Macaca fascicularis: one gene and its partners. The protein of the gene in region 1 purifies or fractionates together with the protein of each later gene. This does not show direct contact. Links are inferred from orthologs where the notes say so. Each region holds a gene or a part of one and is shown in the gene's direction. Other genes may lie near its edges.

Region 1 (2,998 bases):
ATGTAAGTGCTGTGGTTTCTATATTTGGTGTGTTTATTTTTTTGACACTCTTCGTAGAGAGGAAAGGAGTGGTTTGGCCTTTGTTGGGGATTACTATTGAAGGGGGTAAAGTTGCAACTATTCCAAAAAGATTTGTCTTACTCTCTGGCCATCTTGAACTTGAAAGGGAAGTGACTATGTCCAGAAAAAGTGGGCTCATGTAACTAACTGTAGTTCTAAAGCCTCAAGATAAGGGGCAATCAGATTTGAGGCTGAGAGAGGTAAACCAAGATTTTCTTTGAAGACACGGGCTTTAAGAAAGCAAAAGTGACCGAGCGTGTTGACTCACACCTGTAACGCCAAGGCAGGAGGATCACTTGAGCCTAGGATTTCGAGGGCAACCTGGGCAACAGCCAGACCTTGTCTCTGCAAAAAATTAAATATTAGTTGAGCACAGTGGCATGTGCCTGTAGTCCCAGCTACTTGGGAGGCTGGGGTGGAGGATGGCTTGAACCAGGGAGGTCAAGGCTGCAGTGAGCTGTCATCCTTGCTACTACTGCACTGTAGCTTGGGCAACAGAGCAATTGCCTGTCTCGGAGAGAGCAAAAGTAAGTTGCTGTTTGTATTCGTTTCAGGCCTTGGACAAGATTCGCTATGAGAGCTTAACAGACCCTTCGAAGTTGGACAGTGGTAAAGAGCTGAAAATTGACATCATCCCCAACCCTCAGGAACGTACCCTGACTTTGGTAGACACAGGCATTGGGATGACCAAAGCTGATCTCATAAATAATTTGGGAACCATTGCCAAGTCTGGTACTAAAGCATTCATGGAGGCTCTTCAGGTACTGCAGTTCTGTAGGCATACACCATTCATATTCATCAGTGTTCTTTATTTTTTTTGCTGCTTTAAATTTTGTGTTTGACTTTACAAAAACTTGTTGGCAGGCTGGTGCAGACATCTCCATGATTGGACAGTTTGGTGTTGGCTTTTATTCTGCCTACCTGGTGGCAGAGAAAGTGGTTGTGATCACAAAGCACAACGATGATGAACAGTATGCTTGGGAGTCTTCTGCTGGAGGTTCCTTCACTGTGCGGGCTGACCATGGTAAGTTAGCTTTTCTGTTACAAGGTAGCTGGGTTAGAGTTTTGTGGGCTCACCAGTAGCAGAAATTTTGAGCATCCTGTCAAGCAGTTCTTCATAGCAGTTCCGCTAATACTTTATTAATTTGGTAAGTCTCAACTGCATATACTTTCGCCCTGTTACACGCTTATGATTGACTCTTCTAGGTGAGCCCATTGGCAGAGGTACCAAAGTGATCCTCCATCTTAAAGAAGATCAGACAGAGTACTTGGAAGAGAGGCGGGTCAAAGAAGTAGTGAAGAAGCACTCTCAGTTCATAGGCTATCCCATCACCCTTTATGTGAGTATGGACTTTTAAACCTTTTACACTTAGCGTGCAGGATGTTTCCTGTTCTGGAGAATCTCGTGGTCCCTGGCTTCTGCTTTTCCTGGTGTTTTGTACTCCAAGGCTAATTTCTGTTTTTCTTACTTAGTTGGAGAAGGAGCGAGAGAAGGAAATTAGTGATGATGAGGCAGAGGAAGAGAAAGGTGAGAAAGAAGAGGAAGATAAAGATGATGAAGAAAAGCCCAAGATCGAAGATGTGGGTTCAGATGAGGAGGATGACAGTGGTAAGGATAAGAAGAAGAAAACTAAGAAGATCAAAGAGAAATACATTGATCAGGAAGAGCTAAACAAGACCAAGCCTATTTGGACCAGAAACCCTGATGACATCACCCAAGAGGAGTATGGAGAATTCTATAAGAGCCTCACCAATGACTGGGAAGACCACTTGGCAGTCAAGGTGAGAAGCCTTTGCATGTTGGGTCAACATGCAAATATGGAGAGGAATAAGTGGAAGAGTGTTGGCAGGTAATAGACACATGGAACGTGTCCAGCTGATAACAGAAATGTGAGAGCTATGTATTTTCACTTACTGATTACCCGGTCATAGTGAAGTGCCATCCTTCCTAATGACCTCACTTTCTCTAAAGGAAATCTGGGTAATGTCTATTGGCAGCCTTACACATCCAGAGTTCTGATCAGAGCGGACTGTTTTCTATATACAGCTAGTATTCGTCTAGATCGTTGAGGGCATTAAGGCTCAGTTTTCTCGGGAACTGCCTGTGTGTGCGCTCTATCCGTTAGGCTTATGGGGAGGATCATTATTCCATTTTTAGGTAATTTGGTGTTGGGGCTAAAAGGCCCTCTTTTGAAATGTATCACTTGCTTATTTTTTGTTTTTTTTCAGCACTTTTCTGTAGAAGGTCAGTTGGAATTCAGGGCATTGCTATTCATTCCTCGTCGGGCTCCCTTTGACCTTTTTGAGAACAAGAAGAAAAAGAACAACATCAAACTCTATGTCCGTCGTGTGTTCATCATGGACAGCTGTGATGAGTTAATACCAGAGTATCTCAGTGAGTATCTCCTTGGCCTAATTTAGTTGGGTGAAGTCTTGGGAGGTTTTCGGCATTCTGCCAGAATATCCTAGGTTAAGGATTTTCTGCAATGCATAGTAAGTATAAGGGTTCAGGAGGCTATTAGAGCCTTCTGTTTGAATCTGGGTACCAGCTCTGGTCTAGCTATTTTTACTGAGCTTTCTTATCCTGGTTGATGGCAGATTTTATTCGTGGTGTGGTTGACTCTGAGGATCTGCCCCTGAACATCTCCCGAGAAATGCTCCAGCAGAGCAAAATCTTGAAAGTCATTCGTAAAAACATTGTTAAGAAGTGTCTTGAGCTCTTCTCTGAGCTGGCAGAAGACAAGGAGAATTACAAGAAATTCTATGAGGCATTCTCTAAAAATCTCAAGGTAAAGAAGCAAATGCTTATTCCCTTTACCACTTTCTTAGTAATTACTAACAAATTTTTCCATTCACATAGAAAGTGAATTGTAGTTAAGTTGGATTGTTTTTTCTCTTCCCACCCTTCAAGCTTGGAATCCACGAGGACTCCACTAAC
Region 2 (4,789 bases), on another chromosome or scaffold:
TCTGTAAAATGGGCATAACAGATGACCTACCTTAGAAATGGTTATGAGGAGTAAACCAGTTAATACATATAAAGTGCTTAGTGCCCGACCCAAAATTAACACTCAGTAGTAACTTTTATTATTAATACATCATCATAGTACCTTGGGATAAAGCTAAAAAAGAAAATATTTTTTAGCAATCCTAAAAATTAAAAAAAATACAAAAATTCTGAGTGGCCACAAATGCTGAAGATGTGCACAGAACATATAAATGTCTCTGGCACACATGTCAGTTCATAAATCTGTCATTCATTTGATCCTCAGAACAATCTTGTAAGGTAGGCCTGGGAAATTCCATTTCCATGTTACTCACGGGGAAAGGGAGGCACAAAAGAGTTCAGTATCAAAGCCACCTTGTTACGTGCTATTTCAAATTACAATCCAGGCTTTCTGGCTTCTAGACCATTTCTAGTGTCCTGCATGGTCCTTCTATCTATTTTTCACTCTCTGGAAAACTAGAGATCATTCCTTCACTATAGTAGTTATCTACAAATAGACATAGAATATGTCTAACAAACACAATAACCTGCCAGAGGATTTCTGGAAATCTTTTAAACCATGCAATGGCAGTAGACACCTGCCATCAATTTGTATTTATAACGCCAAATGAGAAGCTAGGTTTACTTGACAAGTATAGATAATGATCTAATAGCTCCAGAGTTATAAGTAATCAGGTACAATCTTAAGAGTGACAGGTGCTTCAACATGATTTAAAACACTTCAGAGGTTTATCTTTGTCGTCTCCTGTTTACTGACAGACCACAAGGCAGGGTGAGGGATCTCAGGGGAGAACAGGAACTTTACAAAAGAAAACAGAAGGATCAGCAAGAAAACCACAACATCCTCCCTGCCTCAGAAAACTCCAAAAACCAGCTTCTGAGAAAGTCAGACTTGGTTTCAATTATCTTCCGAGCCAGGAAGATACAGGTGAGGCTTGTGAACTGAGACCAGGGAACATGAGTTAAGCTAGGATGACTCTACGGGTGAACGTCCAGGAAGCCATGGATCTACCGCAGTCGTCAGAGCCCAGCGGATCCCTGGCAGAGTTAAATGCTCTTTCTGAACCAAATGTCCGCTTCCGAACCAATCGTTGGTGCTTACTCGCAGCCCCATTCCCAAGCGTACTCCAGCGCCCAAGGGTCGCCCTGACTGAAAGAAGAGAATCAGGCCTGTGGTCGTAGGATGTAGGGATGCCTCCTAGAAGAGGGGAAAAGATCAAGATGCGGAGAGGCTGGACTCAGCCAGATAAGCGACCCAAGGGGCTTGGGACACCCTCACCTCTTACGCACAGAGCCCTCCCTCTCAGGACTGCGTCAGCCTCCGCCGCCGCTGGAACAGCCTCTCTTTTCAGGCTGTGCAGCTTAGAGAAGGGGGCAGAAAGGAATAATCGCGCGGCGGGGAGAAAACGCGAATAAAGAGGCCGCAGGGCATGCTGGAAGTTGTAGTTTCTTCTGCCTCTGCTGTCAGGCGCCGTCCCGATGAACCACAAGGCTTCTTGACTACAGCCCCCAGAAACCCCACGCACTGTGCTAGGTCATTTCCTCTCCCTTCAGGGCGACCTTCCGCGGTTATGCAGCGGGTCACGTAAGAAGACTACAAGTCCCATGAGGCTCAGCAAGGCCGATTTAGGGTCCAGGGAAACAATGAGACGTGTTCTTTGTTTTCCTATGGGTGAGGAATGGTTGTATGAGCAGTTGGGTTTCGGGACCCTTTTTGGGGAGAACCTGAGGGAGTCCGAAGGAACACTAAATCAGATGGAACCCACGGTGCGGCGAGTTGGGACGGAAGTAGCCGGTGGAAGTGGGGAGGAGCCGGAAGTTAAGAAGGGGAGGGGGTGGAGGGAAAAGCAAGCCAGGAGGTGCTTGCGGCCGCTTCTAGTAGTTTCCAGGCGCTGCCGGGCGGCTGGCACTAAGCGGTCCTGAGGCTGTGGCTGCGGCAGCTCCGGAGCTGGTGGCGCCGCGATAGGAGAGCTGATGGCGAAGTGGGGTGAGGGAGACCCACGCTGGATCGTGGAGGAGCGGGCGGACGCCACCAACGTCAACAACTGGCACTGGTGAGGGCCAGCAAAGCAGGCCGGCCTTGGGAGACCTGCGGCCGGGCCAGGGTTCCAGGGTTCCTGGAACCTCGGACCGGACAGAGCTGGGGCTGAAGTAACCCTGTCCGGAGATGGGGGCGGGTCCTTCCTGTGGCAGGGGTCCGTAGCCCCAGGCCTCTCCACTCCCCGGCCACCTTCTCAGTGCTTGAGGGGAGGGAGATGGACGTGGAGGGCAGCGCCCCAGAGGAGGGTTGTCAGAGAGACTGGGAGATAACGCCCTGGCTGCTGCATCCAGCCCGAGCAGGGAGGTGCTTACTACACGTGGCCAGAGGAGTCACTGAGACTGGAACCTCTTTTGATTGTGTTGGGAGACAGCTGTGAAAGGCCTAAGGCCAGGGGTCTGTAATTCCTGTTTTGCGGCTTGCAGTAAAATTAAAAGTCATTCATAGGGGACCGCTGCAGCAGTCCCGCGGGAGATTGAGAACGTGTTGTGCAGGTGCTCAGAGCTCAGATAGCTGCGGCCTCTCACCCGGAACTGTCAGGTCAGGTGTGTTGGAACTCCAGGTTGCCGAGCAGCCGTGGTTTTATAACCTGTCCGTTCTTAAAATACTGCCCCGCTTCATGAAATCTTCCCAAAGTAATGTTTCCTTACTTTTGAATTCCACTGAATTCTGTTCATAATGTTTGTATTGTACCGTTACTTTGTTGCAGCTTTCTTTGCTGTTGTTTTCTCTAATAGTTGATAAGCAGGAGGGCAGATAGTGATGTTTCTTTTCCATATCTCACTTTGTGTTCTCTCTTCTAACATGCAGAGTAGTTGACCTAATTTTTGTTGTTTTGAAGCCCTTGTCTTAACGTTTTTGTGGCCATCTAGGGGGCAGTGAATGTGTAGGAAGTTTATAATACAAGTGCGAATCTGATAGGTCAGAACACTGTGCCAGTGAGGTCAGGGTTATTGGTTGAATCCTTTCTGGGCCTTTTAGCTAAGTACTATTTTTCCATGGTCCAGTCTGTGTTCCTGATCAGAGCAATATGTGCAGTTTTCCACTTGGTCAAATGGGGGCGCCATGTTAAAGTATCAAGTATTCTCCAGCACCATCATGCCATTGAGTTTATACCATTCTCTACAGCAGCTGTCTTTGTTGACAGTGTGCAACCCCTTGTCTTCCTAGAAAAGGGTGACATGTTTGTGGACATACTGGAGTGGGACTGGGAGTTTTTGTGTTCCTTTCAAACTATTTGTCAGGCCTCCTTTAACCTCGTATTCTCTTGCATAGAGCAGTATATCCTCCATTTGACTGCTAGTTCATAGCTTTGTTTCTGCTTTGCAGGACGGAGAGAGATGCTTCAAATTGGTCCACGGATAAGCTGAAAACACTGTTCCTGGCAGTGCAGGTTCAAAATGAAGAAGGCAAATGTGAGGTGACAGAAGTGAGTAAGCTTGATGGAGAGGCGTCCATTAACAATCGCAAAGGGAAACTTATCTTCTTTTACGAATGGAGCGTCAAACTAAACTGGACAGGTAAGTCTAAGCTGGGCTGTCAGAGAGATTAACTGTGTTTTGTTTAACCTGTTAAGTAGCTGGAGAGAACAGTTTTGAGGAGTTACAAACGTTGAAGGGAGAAGACAGATGTTGCTGCTTTGCAGTCCTATGTAAAGCAGTATTGGGTACTGAAATTTCTTTGCCATTGTGGGATGCTAAATGGATTTCCTCTCTCCGGGTCTCATCAGTCCCACCCATGAAGTGGCTGGGCCACTGCATGTTTGGGCCTTGGTCTTTGTTGGAACACCTAAGGTGATATTTCTTCAGACTAGCTACATGTATCTCGTGAGTGATTTAAAAGAAGGAAGGAGGGGTTTTTTTGTTTTGTTTTTGTTTTTGTTTTTGTTTTTTTGGTCTTGATCTTTTTTTTTTACTCTCCTCAGTGTGACTCTAACAAATTAAAAAGAAGCTTGTGTGTGACAGTAATTTGGGGCTGTTTTATCTCTCTTCTAGTTTTGTGTCCCTTCTGTATGACATTAGGAAAAAATTGAGGTCATGCGTATGCCCGTTTTGGACAGTCCTGACTGTCGAGAGCCTGAATGTAAAAAGACAATAAAGTTAAAGGAGTATGAGATAGCTACTGTCTGGGTATGAGGCAAGGCATGAAATTTGTGCTTTGATAAACATTTCTAAAGTGAATAGTCTTATCATAAAAAAGGGTGAAAGTAGATTTATCTGTCCTTGATTTTTGTTCATTTGTTTTTAAAGTACACTTGAAGCATAGTAGTATGGAAGGAATCTTTGGTGTCATTTTGCCCAGACCCCCCCTTTTTTTTTTTTTTTTTTTTTTTTGAGACGGAGTTTCACTCTTGTCGCCCAGGCTGGAGTGCAGTGGCGCGATCTCTGCTCACTGCAACCTCCACTTCCTGGGTGCAACCAATTCTCCTGCCTCAGCCTCCCAAGTAGGATTACAGGTGCCTGCCACCACGCCCGGCTAATTTTGTATTTTTATTAGAGACAGGTTTCACCATGTTAGTCAGGCTGGTCTCGAACTGTGTCTGGCAGACACTTTTTTTTAAAATATAGGCACTAAAAATTGGTAGCATAGTTTTGTGCACATTAAATGGTAAGAAATAGATAAATACAGGCCAGGCGCGGTGGTTCATGCATGTAATCCCAGCACTTTGGGAGGCCAGGGCGGGCAGATCATGAGGTCAGGAGATTGAGACCAT
Region 3 (4,031 bases), on another chromosome or scaffold:
TCCCTCGGAGCTCCCATTGTTACGGTTTTTTTCTTTTTTTTTTGGTGTTTTAAAGATGTCCATGTTCATTCAGGGTATGGATGGGGAAAATTAAATTAAAAATAAAGTTAATTGTGCAGCCTGGACGATATAGTGAAACTCTAGTCTCTTCAAAAAATAAAAATAAATAAAAAATAAAAAAATTAGCCAAGTGTTAGGGTTTCTTTACTTCAGTAAAATGGGTTTGCATCCTCCCACACAATAAGATGTGCATTATGTGTGTGTTTCTGTCTTTAACCCAGGCTAGGAATATCAGGCTCTCAGAAGCTGCCTGTGAGGATGAAGATTCACCCTCAGAAGGTCTAGGTGAGCTTTTCCTGGATGGACTCAGCTCTGAGAACCCCCATGGAGCCAGGCTGAGTCTAGATGACCAGGGCAGGCTGAGCTGGCCTGTGCTCTTTCTGTACCCAGAGTATGCCCAGTCGGACTTCATCTCTGCTTTTCATGAGGACTCCAGGTACTGACTTGCCCAGGAGCCCTCTGCTTTTACTTGCATGCTGTCTCTTTTTGTGACAGGAGGGACAAGTGGATTTTTGGTTGAGAAGGGAAGATAATGGTTTAGAGGGTTTCACACAATCTGGTGTGAAATCTCTCTATCCTGTAGCTGACTGAACCTTGACTGACTAGGTTTGCAACGACAGACAAAAGTCTCATCATCGTACTGACTGGGCTAGTATGTGTAACACCACAGTATTGTGTTTGCCAAAGAGTGGTATACATCACTGGTGAAATATGAAGTCATTTTAGGTAATACATGCATAGCAACTTAAGTGAATATTAATTAGAAAAAAAATAGAGAGACCGGGCGCTGTGGCTCATGCCTGTAATCTCAGCACTTTGGGAGACCAAGTCAGGCAGATTACTTAAGGCCAGAGTTTGAGACCAGCCTGGCCAATATGGTGAAACCCAGTCTCTACTAAAAATACAAAAAATTAGCTGGGCGTCTGTAATCTCAGCTACTCAGGAGGCTGAGGCATGAGAATCACTTGAACCTGGGAGGTGGAGGTTGCAGTGAGCCAAGATCATGCCACTACACTCCAACCTGGGTGATAAAGCAAGACTTTGTCTCAAAAAAAAAAAAAAAAAAAAATATATATATATATATATATATATATGTATGTATCTTGTGATTTCATAGGGTTAATGCATAGAATAAGTCTAATTGTAAGACAATTTTTTTTTGTAATCTTTTTTTTTTTTGGAGACCAGGTCTGGCTCTGTTGCCCAGGCTGGAGTCCAGTGGTGTGATTATGGTTCATCATAGCCTCCATCTCCCAGGCTCAGGTGATCCTCCTGCCTCAGCCTCTCAAGTAGCTGGAACCACAGGTGAACACCACCACATCTGGGTAATTTTTTAATTCTTTGGTAGACACAGAGTCTCTCTATGTTGCCCAGGTTTGTCTTGAACTCCTGGGCTCAAATGATCCTCCCACCTCGGCCTCCCAAAGTACTGGGATTACAGGCATGAGCCACTGCACCCGACCAGAAATGTTTTTAACCCTGAATCTGTTTAAAGAAAATTATGTCAGCTGGGCACGGTGGCTCACGCCTGTAATTCCAGCACTTTGGGAGGCCAAGACAGGAGGATCACTTGAGGCCAGGAGTTCAAGACCAGCCTGGCCAACATGGCAAAATCCCATGCCTACTAAAAATGTAAAAAATTAGCCAGGCGTAGTGGCACATGCCTGTAGTCCCAGCTGCCTGGGAGGCTGGGGCACGAGAATCGCTTGAACCTGGGAGGTGGAGGTTGCAGTGAGCAGAGATCGTGCCATTGCACTCCAGCCTGGGTGACAGAGCAAGACTTTGTCTCAAAAAAAAAAGAAAAGAAAATCCTGTCAGTCAGGTGCAGGGCTCACACCTGTAATCCCAATACTTCGGGAGGCTGAGGCAGGAGGATCATTTGAGCCCAGGAGTTTGAGACCAGCCTGGGCAATATAGGAGACCCCCGTCTCCACAAGAAAAAGAAAAAAATTAGCCAGGCATAGTGGCATGTACCTGTAGTCCCAGCTACGCAGGCGGCTAAGTTAGAGGAATTGCTTGAGCCTGGAGGTCGAGGCTACAGTGAGCTATTATGCCACTGTAGTCTAGCCAGGGTGACAGAGTGAGACCCTGTCTCAAAAGAAAAAAAAAAAATGTCATAATAGGACAAGTGATACATATGCACATTTTGGGTATTGCTGTCAAATAGGTTAAGCCTGCATTTCATGTTTTACACATGCTAGATAACTTTGAATTAGTGTCTGGGGACTGATGTGGGAAAATTGGTCATGAGTTATTGATACCCAGAAAGTACACATTTTATCTTTAGGTTTATTGATCATCTAATGGTGATGTTTGGTGAAACACCCTCTTGGGACCTAGAGCAAAAATATTGCCCTGATAATTTGGAGGTAAGAGAAGTTTTATTTCATTCCTCTATGGAATTAATTTTTTTTTTTTTTTTTTTTTTTTTTTTTTTTGCGGTGGGGGGAAGGCTGGTAGAGGGAGGAGAAACTGACTGCTTTTTTTTTTTTTGAAAATTATAGTAAAATATACATGACATAATATTTACCATTTTAACCATTTTTAGGTATATAGTTCAGTGGCATTAAAGAACATTCACATTGTTGTGCAACTATCACCACCAGCCATCTCCAAAACTTTTTCATCATCCCAAATTGAAATTCTAAGTACTTCATATAAGTGGAATCATACAGTATTTGTCCTTTTATGTCTGGCTTATTTCACTTAACATCGTGTCTTCAAGTTTCATACATATTGTAGCATGTGTCAGAATTTCCTTTTTTTTTTAAATTTTTGAGACGGAGTCTCACTCTTTCACCCAGGCTGGAGTGCAGTGGTCTGATCTTGGCTCACTGCAACCTCTGCCTCCCAGGTTCAAGCGATTCTCCTGCCTGAGCCTCCTGAGTAGCAGGTATTACAGGCACGTGCCACCACACCCAGCTAAGTTTTGTATTTCTAGTAGAGATGGGGTTTCACCACATTGGCCAGGCTGGTCTCGAACTCCTGACCTCAAGTGATCCACTCATCTCTACCTTTCAAAGTGCTGGGATTACAGGTGTGAGCCACCACACCCAGCCAGAACTGTCTTCCTTTTTATTTGCTTTTATTTTTTGAGACAGAATCTTGCTCTGTCACCTAGGTTGGAGTGCAGTGGTGCAATCTCAGATATTGCAGCCTTGCCTCTAGGGTTCAAGTGATTTTCATGCCTCAGGCTCCAGGTAGCTGGGATTACAAGCATGCGCCACCATACCTAGCTAATTTTGTTTGTATTTTTAGTAGAGATGGGGTTTTGCTATGTTGGCCAGGCTGGTCTTGAACTCCTGGCCTCAAGTGATCCACCCTCCTTGGCTTCCTAAAGTGCTGGGATTACAGGCGTGAGCCACCATGCCCAGCCAGAATTTCTTTCCTTTTTAAGGCTGAATAACATTCCACTGTTGGGATTTTTTAAATAAAAAAATCACAATTTCCAGCATAAAGAATTTTCTTTTTCTAACATTTGAGAGTAGGATGCCAACTGATGTCCCATCACCCCTGAATACTTTAGTGTGCATTTCCTACACGAAAAGACATTTTTCTAATAATACCCATATAGCTATCAAAGCAGGAAATTTACTTTAATTCACTGCTACCGTCTAACCCTCCGTTCGGGTTTCACAAATTCTTTATAGCAAAAGGGTTTTGTTCAGAATCACATACTGTATTTAGTCATCATGTAGCTTTAGTCTCCTTTGGTATGGAAGAGCTCCTCAGTCTTTCCTCCACTTTTTTTTTACTTAAAAAGTTTGCATTCATATTTTTGTGATCATGTGACTCAACTGCAGTACACTTTCTTGATCTTAACACCTTTGAAGATTACAGATCACTTATTTTGTGGAATGTCTGTCAGTATGGGTTTGTCTCATGTTTCCTTCTGGCTAGATTTGGATTATACATATTTGTTTGTTTGTTTTGAGACAGAGTTTTACTCTTGTTGCCCAGGCTGAAGTGCA
Region 4 (4,246 bases), on another chromosome or scaffold:
ACAAGTGTTTTTTTTCATTTAATCCTCATCACGACCGGGAGTGACGAGGATTGGCTGTTATTCCCACTGGACGGATGAGAAAACAGGCTCAGAGAGACTTGGGCAGCAGGCAGGACCTGGCACTCATCTGTGTCTGGGTCCGCTGGGGCCTCTTTCCATGGTCACCTCGCTTTCCTGGCTGCATCTAATCTTGTGCCTCCCTTTGACCTTTGCCCTCTACCCTCTGCCCTGTGCTCCCTATTCCCGCAGAGCACTGCTCCTGCTTTCGATGCCAACAGCATTTACTGTGAACTGACCTCACTTGCCTGAAGAAGTGTGGGGAGGGTGGGGAAGGGGTGGTTGGCTTTCCAGCCCCGGGGTGCTATGTGGCCCTGGGAGGGCATGGGTGGCACCTGAGCCGGGCTCCCGCGGTTCCACCTGCAGATCGCCTCAGGCATGGCATACGTGGAGCGGATGAACTACGTCCACCGGGATCTTCGTGCAGCCAACATCCTGGTGGGAGAGAACCTGGTGTGCAAAGTGGCTGACTTCGGGCTGGCTCGGCTCATCGAAGACAATGAGTACACGGCCCGGCAAGGTGAGCAGGGACTGTGTGGTATGCTGCGCTTGGCCTGGGACAGGTCACGTCCCGCTCCGAGTCTGTTTCCTCATCTGTCATTCCTCATGGTGCTTATCTACCAGAGTGGTTGTGACAGGAGGTCAGAGCTGCCCCGACCTTTCTCATTCCTGCAGGTGCCAAATTCCCCATCAAGTGGACAGCTCCGGAAGCTGCCCTGTATGGCCGCTTCACCATCAAGTCGGATGTGTGGTCCTTTGGGATCCTGCTGACTGAGCTCACCACAAAGGGACGGGTGCCCTACCCTGGTAAGAAGGTCCTCATGGCCCGTCTCTAGTCCCCAAACCCGTCTGCCCTGGTGGCCTTGGGCAAGTCATGACTCCTGCTGGGCCCGTTTCCCCATCCGTACAACAAAGAAGTTGAGCATCTGATGTTAGGCTCTCCCGATGGTCCATGCTCTCAGCTTCGGGGACAGGACCTACCTATGGTCACACTCAACCTGTCCTAGGCAGGAAGCCCTCGCTGTCCTCCCCATCAGCTTCCCCCACCCCACTTTCCTCACTGGAGCCGGGCTCCCCATGCCTTGCTCTGCCCACAGGGATGGTGAACCGCGAGGTGCTGGACCAGGTGGAACGGGGCTACCGGATGCCCTGCCCACCGGAGTGTCCCGAGTCCCTGCACGACCTCATGTGCCAGTGCTGGCGGAAGGAGCCTGAGGAGCGGCCCACCTTCGAGTACCTGCAGGCCTTCCTGGAGGACTACTTCACGTCCACCGAGCCCCAGTACCAGCCCGGGGAGAACCTCTAGGTGCAGGCGGGCCCAGACCGGCTTCTCGGCTTGGATTCTGGGCTGGGTGGCCCCTGTCTCGGGGCTTGCCTCGCTCTGCCTGCCTGCTGTTGGTCCTCTCTCTGTGGGGCTGAATTGTCAGGGGCGAGGCCCCTCCCTCTTTGGTGGCATGGAAGGGGCTTCTGGACCTAGGGTGGCCCGAGAGGGCGGCAGGCGTGCGAGACCAGCACAGTGACTCTGTCCGGCTCCCGCTGTAGCCGCACGCTCCTCCCCGCACTCCCTCCTGGAGCTCTGTGGGTCTCTGGAAGAAGAACCGGGAGAAGGGCTGGGTCCGGGGCTGAGGGTGCCCTTTTCCAGCCTCAGCCTACTCCACTCACTGAACTCCTTCCCCACTTCTGTGCCACCGCCGGTCTATGTCGAGAGCTGGCCAAAGAGCCTTTCCAAAGAGGGCCCTGGCCCTGCCTGCCTGCCACCCTGCCCCTCGCCATCCGTTCTGGAAACACCTGTAGGCGGAGGCTGCCGAGACAGACCCTCTGCCGCTGCTCCCAGGCTGGGCAGCACGAGGCCTCGCCTGACCTGATGATGGTGGGTGGGTGGGATGAGTACCCCCTCAAACCCTGCCCTCCTTAGACCTGATGGACCCTTTGAGATCATCACTTCCTTGCCCCCATTTCACCCATGGGGAGGCAGTCGAGAGAGGGGATGTGACATGCCCAAGGCTACGGAGCAGTTCAGAGTGGAGGTGGGCTTGGAACCTGGTGCTCCCTCTGTCTTCCTCAGGAACCAACAGTTCGTCAGAGGAATCATGGAAAGACTGGGACAGTCCAGGAGACAAGGGGTCTGAGGATGCATTCGAGACGGCAGATTCCCACTGCCGCTGCCTGCTCAGCCCAGCTGTCGGGAACAGCATGGAGGCAGATGTGGGGCTGAGCTGGGAATCAGGGTGAAAGGTGCAAGTGTGGAGAGAGAGGCTTCAATCAGCTTGTGGGTGATTTTTGACCTTCAGAGCCAGCCGGCCATGAAAGAGAGTGAGCCCCGGGGCTCTGGAGGCAATCAAACAGACATAGAAGAGCCAAGAGTCCAGGAGGCCCTGGTCCTGGCCTCCTTCCCCGTACTTTGTCCTGTGGCATTTCAATTCCTGGCCCTGTTCTTCTCCCCAAGTTGGCACCCTTTAACTCATCAGGAGAGAAAAGAGTGCCTAGGCAGGGGTGAAAGAGGACGTGTTACCCACTGCCATGCACCAGGACTGGCTGTGTAACCTTGGGTGGCCCCTGCTTTCTCTCTGGGCTGCAGCGTCTGCCCCACATGTGGCCATGGCCTCTGCAACTGCTCAGCTCCAGTCCAGGCCCTCTGGCAGGACATCCATGGTGAGCCCAGCCCTGGGACGTCAGGAGACTGGGCTCTGGCTCTGTTCAGCCTTAGGGTGTGTGGTAGATTCTCCCTGGGCCTCAGTGTGCCCATGTGTAAAGGGGCAGCTGACAGTTTGTGGCATTTTGCCAAGGGTCCCTGTGTGTGTGTGCGTGTGCATGTGTGTGTGTCTCCATGTGCGTCCATATTTAACATGTAAAAATGCCCCCCCTGCTCCGTCCCCCAAACATGTACATTTCACCATGGCCCCCTCGTCATAGCAATAACATTCCCACTGCCAAGGGTTCTTGAGCCAGCCAGGCCCTGCCAGTGGGGAAGGAGGTCAAGCAGTGCCTGCCTATGAAATTTCAACTTTTCCTTTCGTACATGTTTATTACCCAAGTCTTCTCCCGTCCATTCCAGTCAAGTCTGGGCTCACTCACCCCAGCGAGTTCTCAAATCCCTCTCCAACTGCCTAAGGCCCTTTGTGTAAGGTGTCTTAATACTGTCCTTTTTTTTTTTTTTTTTTTAAACAGTGTTTTGTAGATTTCAGATGACTATGCAGAGGCCTGGGGGACCCCTGGCTCTGGGCCGGGTCTGGGGGTCCCAAATTCCAAGGCCCAGACATGGGGGGGTGGGGGTATCCAGAATTGGTTGTAAATACTTTGCATATTGTCTGATTAAACACAAGCAGACCTCAGAATTTGATCAACAGTTTATTGAACATCTACTGTGTGCTGGAGAGCGAGATGGGGCGGAATATGCGAGAACAAACTGCCCCTCGAGGGGTCTTTGGGCAGTACTAGTAGCTGGAGGGCTTCAGGCCAAGGCAGGGGTGACATGATCAGACTGGAGACAGCTACGGCAGAATGTGGCTGTTTGTGCACATCTGCACCTGTGTTTGGGGGTGAGCACCTGGGAGAAGGACAAGGCACATCACAGGACTTCCCCGAGCATGACAAGTTCAGGACTCAAATGTCCGTGGTGGATGGTAGCAGTGACACTGGGGAGTGGGTGGGGCTGTCAGGCCTGCCTATAGGAGATCACAAATACACGACAAGAATGCCACTGTGTGTGCTCTTCACGTGTTTCCTAGGAGTGCAGGGCAGGGGTGCTGGATTGATCCACAAAAGTCCTGAAAATGCTGAAGAAACACCCAAAGACCCTTCCCCTCCTCCCTCCTTCCCCACCACCAAAGCACGCAGTCTTGAAGGTTGATTTGCAACTGTCTATACGAACACATTTATTTTACACAAATATACATCAGATCACACACCTGTACACCGGAGTCAACTCTGGCTGCAACATCGCTTAATTAAAAACGAATTTCAACAAATCATAGTGTCCGGGTCAGGGTGGCATCTGGAGATCACAGGGGTGTGTGTGTGGGTGTGCGTGTCTCTGGAGTAGAGATGATCTGGATGTGAGGTTGTGGCAGGTGTTCTCTGCTTGCTGGTGGGAGCGTACCTGGATGCGTGTGCCTTTCTGTTCATGGGAGTATGTGCGTGGGCTCTGTTCGCAGACATGGTGTTTGGATGTTTGTGTGTGAGCAGCTGT
Region 5 (3,640 bases), on another chromosome or scaffold:
CCCTGTCTCTGCCTTAGGTGTGACTGTGTGGGAGCTGATGACTTTTGGGGCCAAACCTTACGATGGGATCCCAGCCCGGGAGATCCCTGACCTGCTGGAAAAGGGGGAGCGGCTGCCCCAGCCCCCCATCTGCACCATTGATGTCTACATGATCATGGTCAAATGTGCGTGGCTGAGCTGTGCGGGCTGCCTGGAGGAGGGTGGGAGGTCCTGGGTCGAGAAGCCCACAAAGGGCATGAAAGGGGACCAGGATGTATGTAGACCCAGGAACCCTGGTATATTAGGAGCCTCAAAACCTTCTCATATCCCTTTTACAGTCAAAGTCCAAAGCCACTCTTGAGGAACAACTAGAGAACCTTATGTACAATATTAAGCTGGGCACAGTGGCTCATGCCTGTAATCCCAGTACTTTGGGAGGCTGAGGTGGGAAGATCCCTTGAAGCCAGGAGTTCAAGACCAGACTGGGCAACACAGTGAGACCCTATCTCTACAAAAAATAAAAAAATTCGCTGGGTGTGGTGGTGTGTGCCTGTAGTCCCAGCTACTCGGGAGAGGCTGAGGCAGGAAGATCACTTGAGCCCAGTTGAAGGTGGCAGTAAGCTATGATTGCGCCACTGAAATCCAGCCTGGGCGACAGAGTGAAACCTCATCTCAAAAAAACAAAAAAGCAAACAAAAAGAAAAAATATTAAAAGGGAAACTAGTAGAGATGCCCGAAGGTTCTGGCTGAAGCCCCCAGAGTCTGGTACTACTTCTCTACCACCAAGGGCTTTGGGCTGTCCCTTGGGACTGTCTAGACCAGACTGCAGTGGGAGTGGGAGGGGAGGCAGCAGGCACACAGGGCCGGGGCTAGATGCTGGCCTCCCTCCTGCCCCAGGTTGGATGATTGACTCTGAATGTCGGCCGAGATTCCGGGAGTTGGTGTCGGAATTCTCCCGCATGGCCAGGGACCCCCAGCGCTTTGTGGTCATCCAGGTACTGGGCCTCTGTGCCCCATCCCTGCCTGTGGCTAAGAGCACCCTCCTGCAGAGGGTGGGAAGGAGAGATGAGTCCGGTGTGTCAGGCCCCTCACCTGCTATGAGCCTTCTTCATGGAAGGCTGCATGCTGAGCTGGGGAGGGGCCACCATCCCACCTCTCCTTCCTCCGCAGAATGAGGACTTGGGCCCAGCCAGTCCCTTGGACAGCACCTTCTACCGCTCACTGCTGGAGGACGATGACATGGGGGACCTGGTGGATGCTGAGGAGTATCTGGTACCCCAGCAGGGCTTCTTCTGTCCAGACCCTGCCCCGGGCACTGGGGGCATGGTCCACCACAGGCACCGCAGCTCATCTACCAGGGTCAGTGCCTTCGGTCACACTGTGTGGCTGCTTACCTCCTCCATCCCTGGTGGACTAGGGTCCCTTTCTCTGATGTTCCCTCAACTGTCACCTCTCAAGGAGACCCCATTATCCCTACAAAAAATTCTTACTGCCTTCCAACCTCTGTGACCCCATTCTCTCCACGGTGATTGTGTCGTACCCCAAAGGTGACCTGTTTTTCTCCTGTGACCCTGTCACCTCCCATGGAGTCCCCATCCCAGATCCATTAAGTGACTCCCATCATGACTTACTTTCTTGTCCCCAGAGTGGCGGTGGGGACCTGACGCTAGGGCTGGAGCCCTCTGAAGAGGAGGCCCCCAGGTCTCCACGGGCACCCTCCGAAGGGACTGGCTCTGATGTATTTGATGGTGACCTAGGAATGGGGGCAGCCAAGGGGCTGCAAAGCCTCCCCGCACATGACCCCAGCCCTCTACAGCGGTACAGTGAGGACCCCACGGTACCCCTGCCCTCTGAGACTGACGGCTACGTTGCCCCCCTGACCTGCAGTCCCCAGCCCGGTATGGAGTCCAGTCTAAGCGGAGAGACTGATGGGCGGGGTAGGGGGGACCCTCAGCCCAGGGTCCACTGTGGGGGCAGAGGGAGTGGCAGCGACACCGGGGTTCCTTCCCCTAATAGGTCATCTTCTCTTGGCCTTTCAGAATATGTGAACCAGCCAGATGTTCGGCCACAGCCCCCTTTGCCCCAAGAGGGCCCTCTGTCTCCTGCCCGACCTACTGGTGCCACTCTGGAAAGGCCCAAGACTCTCTCCCCAGGGAAGAATGGGGTTGTCAAAGACGTTTTTGCCTTTGGGGGTGCTGTGGAGAACCCCGAGTACTTGGCACCCCGGGGAGGAGCTGCCCCTCAGCCCCACCTTCCTCCTGCCTTCAGCCCAGCCTTCGACAACCTCTATTACTGGGACCAGGACCCATCAGAGCGGGGGGCTCCACCTAGCACCTTCAAAGGGACACCTACGGCAGAGAACCCAGAGTACCTGGGTCTGGACGTGCCAGTGTGAACCAGAAGGCCAAGTCCGCAGAAGCCCCGATGTGTCCTCAGGGAGCAGGGAAGGCCTGACTTCCACTGGCATCAAGAGGCGGGCGGGCCCTCCGACCACTTCCAGAGGAATCTGCCATGCCCAGAACCTGTCCTAAGGAAACTTCCTGCTTGAGTTCCCAGATGGCTGGAAGGGGTCCAGCCTAGTTGGAAGAGGAACAGCACTGGGGAGTCTTGGTGGATTCTGGGGCCCTGCCCAATGAGACTCTAGGGTCCAGTGGATGCCACAGCCCAGCCTGGCCCTTTCCTTCCAGATCCTGCATACTGAAAGCCTTAGGGAAGCTGGCCTGAGAGGGGAAGTGGCCCTAAGGGAGTGTCTAAGAACAAGAGCGACCCATTCAGAGATTGTCCCTGAGACCTAGTACTACCCCCCATGAGGAAGGAGCAGCAATGGTGTCAGTATCCAGGCCTTGTACAGAGTGCTTTTCTGTTTAGTTTTTACTTTGTTTTGTTTTTTAAAGATGAAATAAAGACCCAGGGGGAGAATGGGTGTTGTATGGGGAGGCAGATCTGGGGGGTCCTTCTCCACACCCACTTTCTCCATTTGCAAATATATTTTGGAGAACAGTTAGGCACCGGCCTATGTCTGGGGGTAGCTCTGCACCATCCCTTCCTGCTCACCTTACACTCAACTCCTCTTTTCCTGGAGGGAGTGACCAGGAATCTTCAGAAAGCTTGGATGAGGAGCCTGACATCCAGTTCTCTAGCTTCAGGGTTGGGGGGGATCGGGAAGCTGGATTCGGATCCGAGAGCCCTTTAACAACCAGATCATTCTTTCTTAGAACGAATTCCTAAGGCCACTCACCAGAATGGGGTTATTTCCTCCTTGTGAGTCAGGAGAGTGGCGGTTGAGTGGGCGAAAGACGAGGCAGGGTCTACTGTGGGACTCATTTTCCTTGCCTTGGCTATGCCAGAGGAGCTCACTGACCTAAGGAGTAGCTGTCCAGAAAGCCCACCCAAGCCAGCACAGCCACCCTGGCGGTACAAAGGCTGGGCCGGCCGGACTTCTGTGCCCCCCACATTCCCAGATTGGACATATAAAAACACACACTAGTTAGCATTAGTGTTTGTAGTGCCACTTTACTGCCAATGGCTGACATTGCCCTGGGTTGGGGAAAATAAATAAAATCTACTGTGGCATCAGACAGGTATTACCGAGGTGAAGAGTGGACCAGGCTTTTGTGGGCACTTATCCTGGGAAGGGGGTATAAGGTGGCTGGGGAAGTGT
Region 6 (4,031 bases), on another chromosome or scaffold:
AGGGGAGCCCCTCCCAGCGTGCATGGCAGAAATCAGGAGCCTGGACTTTGGCGCAGGTTAGCCTGGAAGAGAAGGGAATCCTGGCTTCTGGGTGGGCAACTTCACCTCCCCGGGCCTTGGTTTTCTGTCTGTCAGATGAGGATTGTGAAAACACTGCCATGTAGAGGTGCAGGGAGGATAAATGAGCAAGTGAATTGCTCACACGGTATTAGGCGCATAGTCAGTGCTCCAGAAGTGAGCTGTGTATTATTACTGCTTCCGCTGCCCCTGTTGCTATTCCCACTCCCTTTCTCCTGCCTGCACTGTTATTGTTTGCCTTCATCTTCCTTCCTAGCCCGCCCGCCCCCGGAGAATAGGAGAATAGGAGACTGGCGGGGAGGAAATGCTCAGTCACTCATTCATTTGTTTGGAGAAAGAGGGGAAGGGAAATTCATTCACTGCTGCAAGCACAGCTATGGCTGAGCCTCAGCCCTGCCCTCACAGGGCCCCCTTCCAGTGCGGTGGACAGACCGGTTCCCAGCAGGGCTCATGGCTGGAACAAGGGAGCCCAGGGGCCTTTGGGAGCCCAGAGAGGTTGCCTGACCCAGCCTCTGGGGCTTCCTAGAGGAGGGGACAGTGGGGCTGAGACCTGGAGGAGGAGGTGGAGGTGCGAATGAGGTGCTCCGGGCAGGGGCAGCCTGCACAAAGGCCCGGAGCCAGCACGCTGGGGACATGAGTGGTCTGGCTGGGAGGTATAGAGGGGTGGGAGGAGCCGCATGGGCCAGGACACATGCTGATTTGGACACCAGCCGGGTGTGCGCACATAACCGCTCCCCATTGGGAAGGATGCCAGGGGCTGCCTGGTGCTATCTTCCTCCCCTGCCTTACACCCACCCACAGCCCAGGTGGAGCTGCCTGGCAGGGTGCCCTGGGCCTGCCCAGACAGGGAGGAAGCCGTGGCCTGCTAGGCATGGGCTCTTCTCACCCCGCTTGACACACACACCTGTTCCCAGCGTGGATGAGCCTCACCCCTCACCTCTGTCACACCAGCCTGCAGGGGTCAGTGGGTGTCTCTGGAGGTTTCTGACTCACACTGCCAGGCTTTCCACCAGAGGCCACCCCTGCTCCTTGAGGGCCGGCCCTGGGGCCTCCCAGTCTGTCCTCTGGCACAGGAGCTGTGGGGGTCCGCTCCTGGGGAGGCTAAGGCTGGTGGGCAGGTCAGACAGGGTCTACATGACTAAACTGAGACTCAGAGAGGTGAAGTCACTTGCCCAAAGTCACACGGCAAGTAAGTAGCAGAGCCAGGATCCGAATCCAGCTCCCAAATCCAGTCTGCTTTTCAGGTTAGAAGATCCGAGTTTGCAGGAATTGGAGTAAATAAGATGGGGAGAGGGGAGAGGATAGGGCTCCCTTCACTGGGAACTTGCTCTGTCCCAAAGCCGAGCGCCCCACGCCTATCATCTGATCTGGTCATCAGCGCAGCAGCCCCAGAGCGGGGACCGTGAAGAGCAGTGGGCGCCAACGTGGAGTTTCCTTTCACCTGGCACCACTGTGCAGAGTTCACAAGATTCACCCGTGCAGCTCTCACCGCGGCCTTCTGAGGGAGACACGGTTCTCAGTCCCACCTCAGAGGGAAACTGAGCCACAGAAGCAGACTCACCTGCCTGAGGTCACCCAACTCATGACCTACAGAGCTGGGATTTGAACCCAGTGTCCGGGATCTGTGACCCTCAGTTCCTCTCTTCAGTGGACAAAACAGGGAAATCCTTTGTCCCAGGCCTCCCCAGAGGGTGAGCAAGAGAAGTGACAGCACTCAGTGTTGCTGCCCGCCTGCCCCTGCTGCGTGCCAGGCCTTGTGTGTTACTTATTACTTCCCACAGCCCTGGCAGGGGAGCCCTGTGTCACCTCCCTGTTAGAGATGAGGTAACCTGGGCTTGGGGAGCCCATGTCGTCCAGCAAGTCATTGGCCCTTTGCGGGCCCTTCCTCTCATCCTCCTGCCGCCTTGGTAGTCACGATAGTAGCATCAGGACATGTGCTTGGGACGTCGCTCGCCCCACAGGGATTCTTACAGGGCACCCTGAGCCCATAACCCTCAGACAGGCAGTTGTTTGATTTTAGCGCACTCTTGGCTAAGATTGATGAAGTGCACCCGTGCGGGCAGCTTTGCTGTACCCAGTTTTGGGGTGCAGAAATCAAGGCTCAGAGGTTAAACATGTCCAGGGTTGCACCGTCAGCACCTGGCGCCCAGGCGGTCTGACTTCCGTGTTCATGGAACCCAGGGCTGGGCAGCCTGGGGGCAGCCGCTGTACCCCCACCTCAGCCTCAGCGTGCACACTCCTTCCCTCCCCACCAGGTTGTCAAGGTGAAGCCCCACGACAAGGACGCCAAAATGAAATACCAGGAGTGCAACAAGATCGTGAAGCAGAAGGCCTTTGAGCGGGCCATCGCGGGCGACGAGCACAAGCGCTCCGTGGTGGACTCACTGGACATCGAGAGCATGAGTGAGTCGGGCCCGGGCGCGCCATGCTTCAGCCCAGAACATTCCACGCGGGCCCTCTTCATTCCCTGGGGGTGGGGGTGGGCTCAGGGGTGGCCCCTTGTTCTGTCCCCAGCCTACTGTCTGTCACTCCTCTGCCTGTGTTCCAGGGCACTCCATCCACAGCCCAAAGCAGGGCCTCACGTTTCCCAGTGAGCAAGACTGGGGAGCCGTGGACCCACTGCCAGTTCACGGGCCCTCCCTCTGGGTAGTAGCACAGGCCCCACAGGCTGTGTCTGATTCACCTCTAGGTGCTGAGAGGATCCAAGTGATTGTTCTGGATCATCCCACAGATGATTATTGAGCATCTCCTATGTGCCGGGCACTGTCCTAGGCACTGGGGGTACAGCTATGAACAAAGCCCTCCCTGTCCTCATGGAGCTGATATTCTAGGAGGGAGATAAGATGATGAACAAGTCACGAAATGAATAGTGCTAAGTGCCATAAAACTGAATAGGGTAAAAGGATGTGGGTGAAGGTAGAGAGGGAGGTCAGGAAGAGGCCTCTGGGCCAGACCTGACCCAGGAGGGGACTCTTCACTTGCTCCGTCCCTCTCTCAACCTGTGTGTCCAGAGCCAGGTTTGCCCCATCCCTAGGAGCGAGACCTCTTCCCCACTCACAGTGGCTGTGGTCACTGACTCTCGTGTCCCCCCTCGTTCACACCCCAGCCATTGAGGATGAGTACAGCGGACCCAAGCTTGAGGATGGCAAAGTGACAATCACTTTCATGAAGGAGCTCATGCAGTGGTACAAGGACCAGAAAAAACTGCACCGGAAATGCGCCTACCAGGTAATGCACCTGTCAGGTACCAGGCACCCGGGAACCCTGGGGTGGCATCACAGTGCTGCCAGCCATGGGCACTGAGCAAAACGACAGGAGGAGGGCGGCAACGACAGGAGGAGGGCGGCCACGACAGCCAACACTGAGCAGGAGTCGTGTGCCAGACACCGTGCCAAGGGCTTCCCACAGAGTCTCATCTCATCCATCCCACAGCAGCTTGGGGCGGTGGCGGGCAGTGCCGTTTGACAGATGCAGGGACAAAGGGCCAGAGAGGTCAGGGTGAAAGGTGAAGAAGCAGCGGAGTCTGTTGCTTGGAGTTCTCATCCCAGGCTCTTGGGCAGCTGTGGCTGCTGGTTGTTGCAGGCTGTTTGGGACCTGATGGTGGCTCCTAGTCCTGAGACCATCCCCTCCTCCGAACCAGGAGGGCAACTGGCCACAGGGTGTTAACTGGTTGAGTGAGACTTGGGCTCTGGTATCCTATCTGGACAAGGCCCCCTGCCCTGACCTATCAGGGACTTTACCATAATTTGGGGGATCTGCCGAGATCCACCACCTCCTGGGTTGGTTGTGAGGATGCGGGACTTCTTGTGAGTCAGGTTGACAGGCAGGTGACCCTTACAGGAGTGTGCAGGCCATGTGGGAAGCTGCCACTTGATAGGTCCTAGAGAGCCAGGCAGCCTGGGTTCAAATCTCTGCCTTCCCACATACTAGCTGTGTGCCTGTAGGCAGATGGC
Region 7 (4,031 bases), on another chromosome or scaffold:
AACCAGAAAGCAGGCCCTCACCAGATACCAAATCTGCCTTGTTCTTGGACTTCCCAGCCTTCAGAACTATAAGAAATAAATTTCTATTGTTTTTATGGCACTTAGTCTATGGTATTTTTTTATAGTAGCCCAAATGGACTAAGACAACCAGGGGAGTCTTAAACTACTTACCTTTCTGTAAATAATGACACAAATATTCTAAGGCTATGATTTTTTTCAAACCATCTACCGTGGAGTCCTATTTTTTGCATACACGATCTCCAAATTTTCAATATTTGACTCCAAGCTTATCTCCTTCAGATGCACTAAGGAAATGTAAAAAGACAGAGTTAAAATATGAGTAAATTGAAGGAGTCACTACCAGCATTTCTGTTTTCTTTTATAAAACAAATCCTTTTTAGGAAACAAATACTGCTTGTACACTTGTCCTGAGCAAAGTATGTGTATCTCAGAATAAACAATCAATAGTGTCCAGTTGGGTGAATGAATTTACTCTCCAGAACTGGTTTTATTAATAATATTGTTATTTTATCTCTATTTGTATATTATTGACATTCTGGCAAGTGATAAAATATAATTATTTCATTAAAATACCTTAGACTTGTCAAAGGCTTATTATACAATTGTTAAAGAAGAATGAGGTAGATCTGTATGTGCTTTATTAAAAGATCACCTGGGTCTTTAGTTGACAGAAAAGTTTTAAATTGTGGGAAAAAATAGAGAGTATACCAGTGGTTTCACTTGCGAGGGAGCAGGGTATGTGTCTGTGTAACAAATAATCATAGTAAGGTCCCTTGAGGTGGATGGTAGAAGGGAGGAAGACAGAGTCTTTTCTGTTTATATCCTTTTATAGTATTTAATTTTTAAAAATCACATTCAAGTATTAAATTTCTTTTCTGGCCAGGTGTGGTGACTCACGCCTGTAATCTCAACACTTTGGGAGGCCGAAGCTGGTGGATCCCTTGAGCTCAGGAGTTCAAGACTAACCTGGGCAATGTGGGGTAGAACCCCATCTCTACAAAAAATACAAAAATTAGCCGGGCATGGTGGTGCACACCTCAGCTATTCAGGAGGCTGAGGTGGGAGGATCACTTGAGCCCTGGAGATAGAGGTTGCGGTGAGCCGAGATCATGCCACTGCACTCCAGCCTGGGTGACAGAGTGAGACACTATCTCAAAAAAAAAAAAAAAATTGGTTTTTCCTTTATCCACCTATCTCCACACTGATATACATATTTTTTTTAAGAAAACAGTCGGCCGGGCACAGTGGCTCACGCCTGTAATCCCAGCACTTTGGGAGGCCGAGGCGGGTAGATCACGAGGTCAGGAGATCAAGACCATCCTGGCTAACATGGTGAAACCCCATCTCTACTAAAAAATACAAAAAATTAGCCAGGCATGGTGGTGGGCGCCTGTAGTCCCAGCTACTTGGGAGGCTGAGGCAGGAGAATGGTGTGAACCTGGGAGGCGGAGCTTGCAGTGAGCTGAGATTGCACCACTGCACTCCAGCCTGGGTGACAGTGAGACTCCATCTCCCCAAAAAAAAAAAAAGAAAGAAAGAAAACAGTCATCTGTATTCATTTCCTAAGGGTTCTATAACCTGTGTGGCTTCAGCAATAGAAACTTATTGTCTCACAGCCCTGGAGGCTAAAAGTCCAAAATCGAGGTGTTGGCAGGGCCATGTTTTCTCTGAAATCTGCAGAGAAGAATCTTTCCTTGTTTCTCTCTAGCTTCTTATGGTCTTATGGTCTGCCAGCCATCACTGGCATTCCTTGGCTTACAGTTGCAGCACCTTAATCTGTCTCCATTGTCACATAGCATTCTCCCCTGTGTATCTGTATCCTGTGTCTCGTCTCTTCTAAGTACACTGGTCATACTGGATTAAGAGCCCAGACCATTCCTGTATGAGTATTAATTTATCTAATTACTTCTGTAATGACCTTATTTCCAAATAGGTCACATTCTGAGATATTGGGGGTTAGGAATTCCACATATCTTTTGGGGGGCCACAATTCAACTCATAACACATCTTTGATGTTGATATGGCAAGGAGGCAGGCAGGCCAGTAATTAAAGATATGGCTATTTCTGAGATAACCAATTTAGACTTTTCTTTTAGCTTCAGAAAAAATGCTAAAAGCATGGAAAGAAATGGAAGAAAAGGCCATCCACTATGCTGAGGTAAAATCATTGACCACATTCTGTGTACTTATTAATTCTTGATGTCTCCATTAGAAACTGTCTTTGGTTTTGGTATATAAAGAGCATTTTTCATGTCATTCCCGAAATTCAGACAAAATTCTAGTAGATGCTTTGTATATAAAGAGGGAGGTATCATAGTGATTAAAAACAAGGGCTTTTTGAAAATTACCTAGTGCCTTACTAAGCTTCAGTTTCCTTTATTTATTTATTTATTTTTTGAGACAGGGTCACTGTGTTGCCCAGGTTGGAGTGCAGTGGCATGATCAAAGCTCACTGCAGCCTCAACTTCCCAGGCTCAAGCAAGTCCTCCCATCTTAGCCTCCTGTGTAGCTGGGACAAGAGGTGCACCACCATGCCTGGCTAATTTTTACATTTTATTAGTGACAGGGTCTCACTATATTGCCCAGACTTGCATCAAACTCCTGGGCTTAAGCAATCCTCCCACCTCAGCCTCCCATAGAGCTGGGATTACAGGCATGAGCCACCACATCCAGCTAGTTTCCATATTATGGGCACAATTTCTTTTCTAGTAGGGTTATGAAGATTAAATGGGAGTCAGTATTATTTTTGTGACTGGTTTAGATAGGATGGCTGCACATCTGGGTTTAGTGGGACTGTCCCAGTTTATACCTAATATCTTGCCATAATTATCAGTAGTAGTCCCTTTCACTCTCAAAATGACACTGGTTTGGACAATAAATTATATGGTGTCCCTAGGTATAGATCATTCTCTAGGTGGCAGATTTTCTTCCCCTTATCCTGTACATTTGTCCATGGTCCTAAGTTATTACACTCCTTAATGTCAGTACTTACCCTGAGGATGTGGGTGGGAATACCCATGGTGTCCTGGGGTGGGAAATCCAAGGTCTTTATCTTTTTGTGTCCCTATTCAAGGCAGTGGGGGCCAGGAGGCAATCAAAATCATAGAGCCAAGATACAAGTAATACCAGTGGTTTTGGTCTTTCTTATTAGTTGACACCTGTTGTACCTTTTTGCTTCTCCAGAGGTAAAAGCAAATACTAGTAGTTTACTGTTGTCAGGAGAGAAAAGAGAGAAGACTAAGAATAAGTGTGTTCTTATGTGAAGGATTAAGTGTCAGAATCTGAAGAATAGAAAGGCTTTAACAATATCAGTGTTTCATATTATATTATTTAGTTCTCTAATGAAGCAGCAGGTCATTCTGTATCCTTAAGATCTGAATTTTGTTTCCAATGATGTAGTGGTAAGCCTTTCATTTCCTTTGTATTTTCATCATATTTTAGGTTGGTGTCATTGGATACCTGGAGGATCAGATTATGTCTTTGCATGCTGAAATCATGGAGCTACAGAAGAGCCCCTATGGAAGACGTCAGGGAGACTTGATGGAATCTCTGTAAGGATGTACTTGTGTTGTTGGTCTTGACATCTGTTATATTTTGTAGCATATTGTTCTTTCTGCTTACATCTGGCAAATTAAACCTCTATGTGGTTCTTTTCTCTAGTTTTCCTTTCCCCAAATATATTGGGATTATCTTTAAAGTGGAAGCTTTTTCTTAGTCACAGGAAACTTCAGAAATAATTCTTTGGGTTGGCCTTTTTTGGTTTTGAATAAAAGCATTTATTTCATATGAGTGTTAAGAATTTTCCAAGTATAACTAAGTTACAAACTGTTTCCCTACTCATAGTACCTCTGGTCCAAGATATTGACTCTTAAATGCCCTAAAACTTGAGATTTTTTCTTAATTAAAGTTCTGGATTAAAAACTTCAGATATTTTCTCTAATTATAGGTCATAATTTTTGTCTGTTTAAGTGTCTCTGGTGCAGAGATGTCCTCATGGTAGATCATAATAG

The links.
Region 2: the proteins of HSP90AB1 (region 1) and AHSA1 purify together in Homo sapiens (affinity purification with mass spectrometry; 6 studies listed by BioGRID and IntAct, with this or other methods). This does not show direct contact. The link is inferred for Macaca fascicularis from reciprocal best matches to the Homo sapiens genes HSP90AB1 and AHSA1.
Region 3: the proteins of HSP90AB1 (region 1) and TTC4 purify together in Homo sapiens (co-immunoprecipitation; 3 studies listed by BioGRID and IntAct, with this or other methods). This does not show direct contact. The link is inferred for Macaca fascicularis from reciprocal best matches to the Homo sapiens genes HSP90AB1 and TTC4.
Region 4: the proteins of HSP90AB1 (region 1) and SRC purify together in Homo sapiens (affinity purification with mass spectrometry; 3 studies listed by BioGRID and IntAct, with this or other methods). This does not show direct contact. The link is inferred for Macaca fascicularis from reciprocal best matches to the Homo sapiens genes HSP90AB1 and SRC.
Region 5: the proteins of HSP90AB1 (region 1) and ERBB2 purify together in Homo sapiens (co-immunoprecipitation; 5 studies listed by BioGRID and IntAct, with this or other methods). This does not show direct contact. The link is inferred for Macaca fascicularis from reciprocal best matches to the Homo sapiens genes HSP90AB1 and ERBB2.
Region 6: the proteins of HSP90AB1 (region 1) and PPP5C purify together in Homo sapiens (affinity purification with mass spectrometry; 6 studies listed by BioGRID and IntAct, with this or other methods). This does not show direct contact. The link is inferred for Macaca fascicularis from reciprocal best matches to the Homo sapiens genes HSP90AB1 and PPP5C.
Region 7: the proteins of HSP90AB1 (region 1) and CHUK purify together in Homo sapiens (co-immunoprecipitation; 3 studies listed by BioGRID and IntAct, with this or other methods). This does not show direct contact. The link is inferred for Macaca fascicularis from reciprocal best matches to the Homo sapiens genes HSP90AB1 and CHUK.

Annotation. Positions count from the first base shown.
Region 1 is NC_088378.1:127,267,179-127,270,176, reverse strand, and holds part of HSP90AB1 (heat shock protein HSP 90-beta), read left to right. Parts: coding exon 1-2; intron 3-614; coding exon 615-821; intron 822-924; coding exon 925-1,084; intron 1,085-1,266; coding exon 1,267-1,400; intron 1,401-1,533; coding exon 1,534-1,842; intron 1,843-2,289; coding exon 2,290-2,455; intron 2,456-2,658; coding exon 2,659-2,849; intron 2,850-2,971; coding exon 2,972-2,998. UniProt on the Homo sapiens protein: Molecular chaperone that promotes the maturation, structural maintenance and proper regulation of specific target proteins involved for instance in cell cycle control and signal transduction. Undergoes a functional cycle linked to its ATPase activity.
Region 2 is NC_088381.1:145,412,652-145,417,440, forward strand, and holds the start of AHSA1 (activator of 90 kDa heat shock protein ATPase homolog 1), read left to right. Parts: upstream 1-1,866; 5' UTR 1,867-2,012; coding exon 2,013-2,092; intron 2,093-3,405; coding exon 3,406-3,596; intron 3,597-4,789. Other genes in the region: VIPAS39 (spermatogenesis-defective protein 39 homolog), read right to left, coding at 1,141-1,152. UniProt on the Homo sapiens protein: Acts as a co-chaperone of HSP90AA1. Activates the ATPase activity of HSP90AA1 leading to increase in its chaperone activity.
Region 3 is NC_088375.1:179,943,023-179,947,053, reverse strand, and holds part of TTC4 (tetratricopeptide repeat protein 4), read left to right. Parts: intron 1-281; coding exon 282-496; intron 497-2,347; coding exon 2,348-2,429; intron 2,430-4,031.
Region 4 is NC_088384.1:93,513,557-93,517,802, forward strand, and holds the end of SRC (proto-oncogene tyrosine-protein kinase Src), read left to right. Parts: intron 1-423; coding exon 424-577; intron 578-732; coding exon 733-864; intron 865-1,154; coding exon 1,155-1,363; 3' UTR 1,364-3,389; downstream 3,390-4,246. UniProt on the Homo sapiens protein: Non-receptor protein tyrosine kinase which is activated following engagement of many different classes of cellular receptors including immune response receptors, integrins and other adhesion receptors, receptor protein tyrosine kinases, G protein-coupled receptors as well as cytokine receptors.
Region 5 is NC_088390.1:60,788,783-60,792,422, forward strand, and holds the end of ERBB2 (receptor tyrosine-protein kinase erbB-2), read left to right. Parts: intron 1-17; coding exon 18-164; intron 165-876; coding exon 877-974; intron 975-1,149; coding exon 1,150-1,338; intron 1,339-1,624; coding exon 1,625-1,877; intron 1,878-2,018; coding exon 2,019-2,374; 3' UTR 2,375-2,898; downstream 2,899-3,640. UniProt on the Homo sapiens protein: Protein tyrosine kinase that is part of several cell surface receptor complexes, but that apparently needs a coreceptor for ligand binding. Essential component of a neuregulin-receptor complex, although neuregulins do not interact with it alone.
Region 6 is NC_088393.1:54,404,101-54,408,131, forward strand, and holds part of PPP5C (serine/threonine-protein phosphatase 5), read left to right. Parts: intron 1-2,333; coding exon 2,334-2,481; intron 2,482-3,184; coding exon 3,185-3,306; intron 3,307-4,031. UniProt on the Homo sapiens protein: Serine/threonine-protein phosphatase that dephosphorylates a myriad of proteins involved in different signaling pathways including the kinases CSNK1E, ASK1/MAP3K5, PRKDC and RAF1, the nuclear receptors NR3C1, PPARG, ESR1 and ESR2, SMAD proteins and TAU/MAPT.
Region 7 is NC_088383.1:109,147,864-109,151,894, reverse strand, and holds part of CHUK (inhibitor of nuclear factor kappa-B kinase subunit alpha), read left to right. Parts: intron 1-2,117; coding exon 2,118-2,179; intron 2,180-3,462; coding exon 3,463-3,572; intron 3,573-4,031.